2 linked regions of the Drosophila melanogaster genome follow. The protein of the gene in region 1 interacts with the protein of each later gene in a biochemical or structural test. Each region holds a gene or a part of one and is shown in the gene's direction. Other genes may lie near its edges.

Region 1 (4,640 bases):
GCGGGCCAACTTGTTGTAAACAAATTGAAGTGGCACTCAGTGATCCCCTGCTCCGCCGCTCTTCTTCTTGTGTTGGCCATTACCAATTGCACTCGGGTTCAACCCTTACCCTCGACCATTCCCCATACCCAATTCCCTGGGGATCGAATTGGATGGGATTGTATGGACGGAGTGGTATAGGATGGTATGGCATGGGGACGTGCCTTCATTAGGCCATGCAGAGCGCGTAGGCAGAATGTGTAAACACACATCGATTTCCATTCCGAATGCGTCTCGTGTGCTATGCGTAATTTTAATTGATTTCATTTACGCATTTTTGACTAATGTTCACACGCCGATGCATCGGACTGGCGGGGGGTGCAGCTCATTTAGCATGGACTCGGCGCGTTGATGGACAGAATCCAACTCCAAATGGCTGCATCGGGGAATTTATTTTTGGCCCTATCGTCCCACTCTCGCATCCGCCGTTCGCCTGGTTTTCCCCACCCAGAAAAAAAAAAACCCAAAATCTGTAACATAAATTTCACTTTGATCTATTTTTGAGTGGCCAATGCAAGTTTGCTAAATTCTGTTCAGCAGAAGGAATATTTAAAATTTTTAATTGCTACTAGAGTGCGCGCACTCAGCGGCGACGACCCAGTTTCAAAACATCTTTGCTGGCCAGAATCTCGACTGGGTTAGGGGATTTCTAATGGTGGTGAAAAGGAGGGAGCACTAATCTCTAGATAGCATTTTTATGTTACGAAATATACAGTTTTACTCTAATTAATGTGTGTGACACATACTATTTTTAGCCATCTTCATGCATAAGCATCTTATAAAACAGCAAAAACATGGTATTACATGTAGGAAATGTGATTCACTTTCGCTAAACACAACTTTAAACGCACCCCCACTTTGCTAATTGCCCATTTTGGCTATCGTAACTCCTATTTTACTTCACTTTTGATTGCCTTGGGGTTTTCTTCCCCATTCTGCCATCAATCTCCAAGTTGACATCCCAACCACGAGCGATTTGGAAAGAAACGTGTGACTTACCGAACGATAAACTGAAAGTAAACCTCCAAGTTGCCTGGGCCATCAATCAATCAGTCACTTAATATGAATATGAAAATATGAACCCGAACCCACAACAAATGCAATGTGGGTTTATCTGGCGTACATTCGCCATTCATTATTCATTGTGTGTTTTTCCTCTCGCCAGCCAAGTTTTCTTATCTCAGGCAACAATGTTGGCCGCGTTTTTCTTTGGGCCACTGTAAGTGCAACTTGAAAGGCGATTTTTAGGCCATTTTTGCAGTAAATGTAGCAGTACTTGAAGCATTTTGTAGTTGGACAAGGTTCAATGAGCAGGCAAACCGCTGAAAAGCCCAGTTACCCAGACCACACCCAATTGATTTTCACTCACTGACCATCTGAGAGATGCGTTTATGACACCAATCGACTTGAAATTTAAACAAGCAATATTTTAGATACATAAGCATGCCTTGACTTTACAATCAGTTGTTTTATATATTTTGCTTGTAACACACTTTTGATAACATGAAGAAAATTTACTGTGTGAAAAATTGTGAAAAACTTATTTAATGTATGGTTCGTATAAGGTGCCGTCCTAGTGCTTCTTGCGACCCTGGCAGAGAGATTGATGCGCCTTCAGCTGGTGGCCCTTGAACTCCAGGCCACATCTGGGACAGCCGACGGTCTGTTTGAAGAGATTGCACTAGAGGCGCTGACGCGGAGTAAGTTCGTCCTCGCTGGACAGCAGAGTAGTCGAGTTGCTGTTCAGCTCTGTGTAACCGGAGCTGCGAAGAATTCGCTTTGATGAATTTGATTTCGATTTGGTGCAGCGTGATGTGGAAGATCCCGAGGAGGAGAAACGGGTGTCCAAGTCCTTTGAAGTAAACGATGGCGGTTCCAAGCACACCATAATGGTACCGCGCTTCATTTTCTCAAAGCAAATGGGACAAGATACGATGTCGTTGTTGAGCAAGTGGGCTGCACGGTGTTCTTACGCTGCAAGTCTTTCATCAGGATGTCTTCTCCAAAAACATCGTCAATAATGGATTGATCAGCTAGTTCCGTGGCGGCTGTTAAACTGTCATTTGCCGGCCGCCTCATAATCGATTGAAAGGGTATTGACCTCGCACAAGGTCAATTCATCCTCCATTATCTAGCGCTTGATGTTCTGCGTGCGCTCCTGACTGCTCATGGTGTTCCTGCAAGCTGGCATCTTTAGCTCATCCTTTGACTGCGCTGCTTCTGTTCATCAATTTTCTTCATTTTATGTTATTAAAAAATATGTTACTATATGGAAGTGTTTGAATTTACATTAGAATAGCCTACTATGTTTTCGACCTAGTGTCATAGAGGCCTAACATTTTTGCCATTTGGCTGGGAGCCATTCAATTCGTTTGCCATGCAGTCGGCATTTGCTTTTATTTCTACGTAATTGCGAATCTTTTGAAGCGATGCGAACTATATCATCGCAGTACATTTTCCTACCCGTATGCATATTGATTGATAGCCAATTTGCACGTGCTCCACTTTGTGCCTGGGTTTTGCTTATTGTCGCCATGTTCTGCCCATACGAAATCAGTTCCCCTGGTCGCAGTTCTTTGGCTGCACCCACATGGATTGTCACGTTTGTGTTTTGTTTTGCTTTTGAGTTCTTGGAAATGTGTCGAACACAAGAGCCGCGAGTTTTCCACCCAGCAATTTGCAATCTTTGATAGATGGCTTATGTAACTGCCAGAGAGTGTAAGGCACAACACAACACAACACCAAAGTGGCGAAAATATTAGACGCGTCGGGGGAATTACGTCGTTTGGTCTGCGGGTTTCGAGTCGACAAGTGCAAGGCACTCAATCAATTAGCGATAGTCGATAGCCATAGACATGGGCTTTATCAATGCTTCGGTTAACTTCGTGGTTGCACTGGAAAATATTCGAAACTAAGAGGAGTTAGAAAGTCAAATTTTAGCAAGGCACTTTCAGCTAACAAATATTATATTGCTTCTTAAGTGTTGCAAAACTAAAAAATATCGCAAACCCCCTATCGATATCATTGAACTTTTTTTTTATTAATAATGTTTTTATTACTGTGTATAGCGGTTTCCCATAATTTACACCACTCATGTTACGCTAAAGTTTTATTGAGTTCCATTAATTTACGACTTTCTATGGTCGTAATTAAGATTATCCTTTGCTCGCGCTCCGCAATTGCCGCCGATTTTCCATGAATGGCAGCTTTTTATCGGACCTGCACTCGCATAATTCATTTTATCATTTTGACAGATTCGGAATGGAATAGCGACTTTCCTCGCCCACCCAACACGCGTACGAGATTTCAATTGCCCGTCGAGTGGCACACATATATTATACCAGCTCTCGAAATGAGACGCATCATAAATAATAACTAATGTTTTGATAAGACCCCAATGAGCGCCAACCACTTTTTCTGTTTATCAAATTACGTATGAAGTTTGCTCATTAATTTTGGCAAAGTGAGTGTAGGGGAAACATGGGTAGTGTAGCACACAGAAACCCCTGCAGGAGGCCTAACCCCTTTCGCTGAGATTGGGTCTGAGTCGCTTCCGCTGATTTGCACTGAAAGTTGCACAGTGGGGTTTTTGCACCTCGGTTTTGTATCTCGAGAAAGGGGGATTTCTTGGTCTTCAAGTCGCGCTCATTGCGTGGGCTTTGAGCCGTCGAGGAACGTCATCCTCCAAGTCTGTGGCGTGCAGACGACAGAACTAGACGTAATCTCGGCGAGCTGTCAAACAGTATCTTAAAGATGCCTCTCCGACTACTTGGCTGGCAACTGGTTCTGAACGCAGCCGTCTGCGGAGAGGCACTAAATTCTGCGGCCTTTTGACCAAGTTTATGACACACGTTTAGCTGTCTAGTTGGCCCACGCTCATCCGCTTTCAGCAGGAAGAGAGTTGAAGTTGCCCATTCTCCGTTGGTGCGACTCCCCTTTTCCTCTCCATCGCCCCTATGTGTTTCTATTTTCAATTAAGATCTCGTATTTCAGGCGCCCGACAAACGGGCAATTGTTGTTGTTAAATTATTAATTGACATTTGCCTGGCGCCACAGAAGAGCAACTCAAGTGCCAAGACTCCCACCCGCTCTCCCTTTTTTTGTTTACAAATTAGTTACACAGTTTTTCAATTTACTTATATTTCGTATTGCCCGTTTTTCTGTTTGCCCCGTAGGTGAATTCAGTGCGAATGTTCAGCCAGACGTCGAAGCTATGGCCGCCGCCGCTTTGAGTGGCATGGAAATGGGATCTGGACCAGGATCAGAGGGATATGAGGATGCCGACAACGAGAAAAGCAAGACCGTGGAAAATGGTGAGTCTACCATCTTAATAAAATGATTTAAAAAAGCGTGTTATAAATCAGCATCGAATATTTTGCATATCTTATCTTATTTTATCTTATATATAATATTAGTTCGGATTAATATAACTTATGATCATAACACTCGGATGTATAGATCAACAGCAAGTTTATATTTTGAATTTGGCGACCTAAGTTCAACATCCTCGATAGTATAGTGGTTAGTATCCCCGCCTGTCACGCGGGAGACCGGGGTTCAATTCCCCGTCGGGGAGATGTGTAAATAATTTTTTTTTTTTG
Region 2 (4,566 bases), on another chromosome or scaffold:
TGGCAGCCAACTGAATTGGCGGAGGGTATATCCATTGAGTGGAAGCAGGTTAGCCTGCACGGTATCTCTTCGAATCCGAGAAAGTGCATCTACTTCATGCTGGACCACAAAGTCGAGTGGAACGGCGTCTACGGAGATCCTCCCCAGCAGGCAGTCAATGGTCGGAATGGCGGTGGTTCGGAAGCGGAAGTGGACGAGGGAAATGGCAGCGATGAGCACGATGAGGACGACAATTTCGAGGATGCCGTAGACGAGCAATTTGGAGAGGTCACAGAGTGCTGGCTTATGCCGGAGGACATTCACACCGTAGACACTATGTACAGTGCCATGACGACTTGCCAGGCCCTACATCCTGATTCGGCAAACAGTGATTCGGAAGACAGCGATCCTATGCAGGATGCCGGTGGCTTAGAGGATGAGGCTATGGAGGAGGATGATGCATTGACGCTTGGGCGCAACGGCGTGCAGAATCTCAGTTTGGACGACGACGAAGAGCGATTCGAGGACGCTGATGAGTGAAGCATAACCTATTTAAACATCAATACCACGTTTTATACCAGATAAAATGTACGATATATATGTATTGGATTAGATTTTGGAGTAATAAATAGAACGCGGTAAGCGCGATTAAAACAAAACTACGTGCTTTCCTTGACGTTTTCCTTATTACGAGCGATTTCTTTCTCTAAATCCTCTTCGCTAATGGGCTGCGAGAGCTAAATAAATAAAATGTGGTATTTATTAGGTGTACTTCGAGAATATATAGTGGTATATACATACAGCTTGAGCAACATCCGGCAGAGGAAGGGCCTGTCGGTAGGGATCGCCATTGGACGGCACTTTGTCGTAGTTCCAGTAAGTAAAATCTTGAAATACTCCAGTTAGCCGCAACTTTCGGTCGGAGGTATCGCTGATGGGCTTCTCTGTTTCTTGCAGAACTAATCCGCAGTATCCTTCGGGCACTTTCAACTTCTCTCCCATTAAAGGAAATCCGCGCAAGGCGTTCGTCAGGATTCCTGTGCCGAATTCGGTTGCTTCACGTGTGTAGTTGTTGAAGTAATTTTTTACATTCGCTTCCCCATCGCCGTCTATTTTGGCCGGCAAGTAGTGCACGTCTAAATTCTTACCCTTGGCAAAGTTCTTACCATTAAAATCTAGAGTAATTGACATTGTTACTTTTTGCGCAAAATAAAAGGTAAACAAAAACTCCGCCAAAATGTGTTTGTTTGTTTGCGCTTAAGAAGGATGGTTTGAGTAGCAGCTAAACTCATCGATTTACAACCGATAGCCAATAGTAGTTTAATTCGATAGTAACAATATAACAAAAACATACAATTATATTGTAAATCAAAGCTTGTAGATGGTAACGAGATCACTGTTTACCATCACTGAACAAGTTTTCATGCTGTTTTAAATTTAGTATCTGACTACATACGTATTATATATATATATTTGACAATATGCGATGTTTTCCAAGAATATTAGCACTAAAAAATCGATAGTATAAGAGAGTAATCGATTTTTCACTCAGCACTAGACTTTGTGCCACCACTAATAAAAATGGCGTTCGAAGTTGTAGTTAAATTTTTATGGGAATCCGTAAAACAATAGCGCGTGAGGCCGCGGCAGCATAATTCGCGCACTATCAAGCGTTCCGTGGACGAGCAACTGTGTGGGCGTGCGTTGTTCGCAGAGTTTTCGTCCGATTTTTAGTGAACTAGAACAATACAAGTGTGCCTCCTTTGATTATTATTGCAAATTTTAGTACCACACACACTCGCGCACACATCGATAGCGAAGGAAATACTAGTGCGAGTAAATAGTGTGGCACCCATACTGGAGCAGCGACTAAATTAAAGTTAATTAAACACACAGTGGTATTTCATTTAATGCAATTTGTGAAATAATAGAGTGGCAGAGGGAGAGAGACAGATCGAACCCCGCTCCCGCTCTCCCCTGCAGCATGCGTGAACTGCGTCCGTGTGTGTGTGCGTGAGAGAGTGAGCGAGACATGTGCGTGTGAGGTGCAGCAGCAACAACAACAACACCAGCAAAACAATTTCGGGTGAGTTTTTCGTGAATATTTTGCCTACCTGAACGATTTCCTACCTACGCCCTCGCTTTTGGGTTGGGTTTTTGCACTTGGGGGGAAAATACACACATTATCTCTAACGAACTTACTAATAATACCCATTTCCATTTGTTATCTTTGGATTGCAGCCTATAAAAAAAGCAAATCGGTGTTATTATTTATATACAAATATATCTATGTGCGTGTGCCATGACACACAGCAACAAACGCAAAAACTACAACAATTGCAACCGTCAAGGCTACCGCCACAGCAGCAGCAGCAACAATAACAACTGCAGTTACCTTCGGCAATGAAATTACCTCTCACCGCCCTCACCTGCTCCTCCTACACCTCCTTTGCTTCCTCTCCTCCACCTTCTACTTGCACTTCTTCTTCTTCGCTCTCCGTTCGGCGCTTTAACGACAACAACAACTACAACAACATGCCCGCGACATATAAATAATCAATACACAAAGTAAATCCATTTATTTTTATACAAATCAAACAATATCAATTAAAAGTCGAAAATTATGAATAAATTGGATTACCCACGTCGCAATGGTACACACAAAGTTCGAATAACGAGTAAGTCTGCTGATAAAAACAATTGTTAATAAAACCCACTAATATATCGCTTTACTTGCAGTATTGTGTGCTAGAAACTTGGCCCGCAAGGATTTATTTCGTAAGTATTTTAATATTAATTGGATATATCTTAGCATCTAATTTCCTTAGTGCCTATCACCTATCCGTCAAATAGGACGGTCTAAATTAGTTCCTAAAGCAGAACTTCCGGTCATCAAAAGCATAAAAGTTTTACCCTGTACTTCTTAATCGTTAGTGTTATAAAATATTAAATGTAACAGCAAAAAATTCCTTAAAACTATTTACCCAGCATGCCTTTGGCGTAATCACTTATTTTCGTAATTTGCTCACATGTTTGGGCTAATTTCTTGACTCACTTTTGGTTAGTTACGGGAAATTTGGAGCAGTTGGCATTCGCCAGACCCAGCAAGCTTTGTTTTCACGTTTGGTTTTCTTTTCGAAAACCATCAATTACGCACCTGTTTAGCCGTCCAATCGAAACACACATTGTGGTAAATTAAAGTTTTGTTTTATTTGCGGCGCTTGTGGTGCTGCTGTTTCCTCTTCTTCACATTCATCTATGCATATAAGGTATCGCTAAATTTAGCACTTCCTTTCTTGTCTACTTTCATTTTTATACAAATTGCGGAAAAGCCCCCTCCCCCCATCGCGCCCATCAAGTCGAGTGGGTGAGTGCGAGTGGTGCGCCATATCTGAGCTCTTTTCCCATATTTTGTTAGATATAACAAAAGTGATTATTACTAATTTGCTTTCATTGCGGCTCACTCACTCGCTCGTCCACAAATACAATCGCAATATTTTTTCTTTCTGTGTATTTGTGATTTACTATTCGCTTTTTCCACTTCTTGTCCATTTTTGTACACTTGGTTGCACTTAAATCACGCGCCACGCATTGTTCAATGTGCTACTAAAAAAAAAAAAAAAACATTCGATGTTCCTTATCCGTGAGATTCCAATAGGGGGATATTTGGGTTTCCGAAAATGGGTCTGTGGCCGCTGGTGTCACTTCAAATGAATTGTTTATTAATGCTAATGCTTGAATTCCGTGGTTGACTACAGAATATGGCGCATTCATTTGCTATTTTCCCTCTACTACCATATACATTGTACACTAGTAGTTGGTTCTTCATATTTTATCGATTCTTTGTGATAAGATTTTAGTTGAACCCAGCGGGGCTTACGGTCATTATAGGGAAAATCCATAATGGGACTTTCCGATATTCGTTATTGTGAGTAATGTAAACTTTTTTAACATATCAAGTTCGAAAAATGTGGAAGTAGTATGCTTTGAATTTTCCTTTGATTCAACACACTTGCCAAAGAGTTCAGTTAATCAGATAAAGAATATAGACGAAAGCATGATATCGTTTCTGTTAAAACGCCGAGCTTGTGATGCTTACAAGATTTCATTAGGACTAACTCGTGCATATAGAGCCTTAACAGAAGTAAAAAGCCTTCAAAATGCCTTACGACCTGGTAATAAAACTGGAAATATCAAGCTGGTAAACATATACCGAACTTCTAGCATACAAAATGTGAAGAAGAACCAACTAAGTGACGCTGAAAGCGTTATTCCACTCTTATTGCGGCCAGCCAAACCTGTGCTGATTATGAGAGAAGGATCTCAAACCGATTGTAACGACGATTTGCTGTCCTCTGAGCAAAGAGCCAAAAAAAGGGAAAGCATAAAAAAATCCGAAGTAGATTGCCCAAAATTTCCAGCTGAGAAACTTCCGCCCACAACGAAATTTCCTATTAATGAAAATGCCAAGAAGGTTTTAGATCCAGCCGACCAAAGAGAACTCGAGGCCAATTTGTTAAAAAGGCTTAAAGATATGGCTAAAAGAAAGAAATCTCGACTAGATGAGAAAGTTGACGAGCTGAGGGA

The links. Proteins that work in one complex are often made in the same cells at the same time.
Region 2: of the proteins of tkv (region 1) and Smurf, one has a biochemical effect on the other in vitro, tested with the Drosophila melanogaster proteins (one study listed by BioGRID).

What each region holds. Positions count from the first base shown.
Region 1 is NT_033779.5:5,241,081-5,245,720, reverse strand, and holds the start of tkv (thickveins), read left to right. Parts: upstream 1-1,581; 5' UTR 1,582-1,645; coding exon 1,646-1,739; exon of another isoform or gene 1,740-3,022; intron 3,023-3,100; exon of another isoform or gene 3,101-3,502; intron 3,503-4,214; coding exon 4,215-4,352; intron 4,353-4,543; exon of another isoform or gene 4,544-4,615; intron 4,616-4,640.
Region 2 is NT_033778.4:17,591,248-17,595,813, forward strand, and holds the start of Smurf (SMAD specific E3 ubiquitin protein ligase), read left to right. Parts: upstream 1-1,543; 5' UTR 1,544-2,065; intron 2,066-2,220; 5' UTR 2,221-2,602; coding exon 2,603-2,657; intron 2,658-2,718; coding exon 2,719-2,757; intron 2,758-4,019; exon of another isoform or gene 4,020-4,036; coding exon of another isoform or gene 4,037-4,566. Other genes in the region: icln, read left to right, coding at 1-519; CG30105 (uncharacterized protein), read right to left, coding at 639-716, 781-1,170; ND-51L1 (NADH dehydrogenase (ubiquinone) 51 kDa subunit-like 1), read left to right, coding at 4,037-4,566. UniProt on the Drosophila melanogaster protein: E3 ubiquitin-protein ligase which accepts ubiquitin from an E2 ubiquitin-conjugating enzyme in the form of a thioester and then directly transfers the ubiquitin to targeted substrates.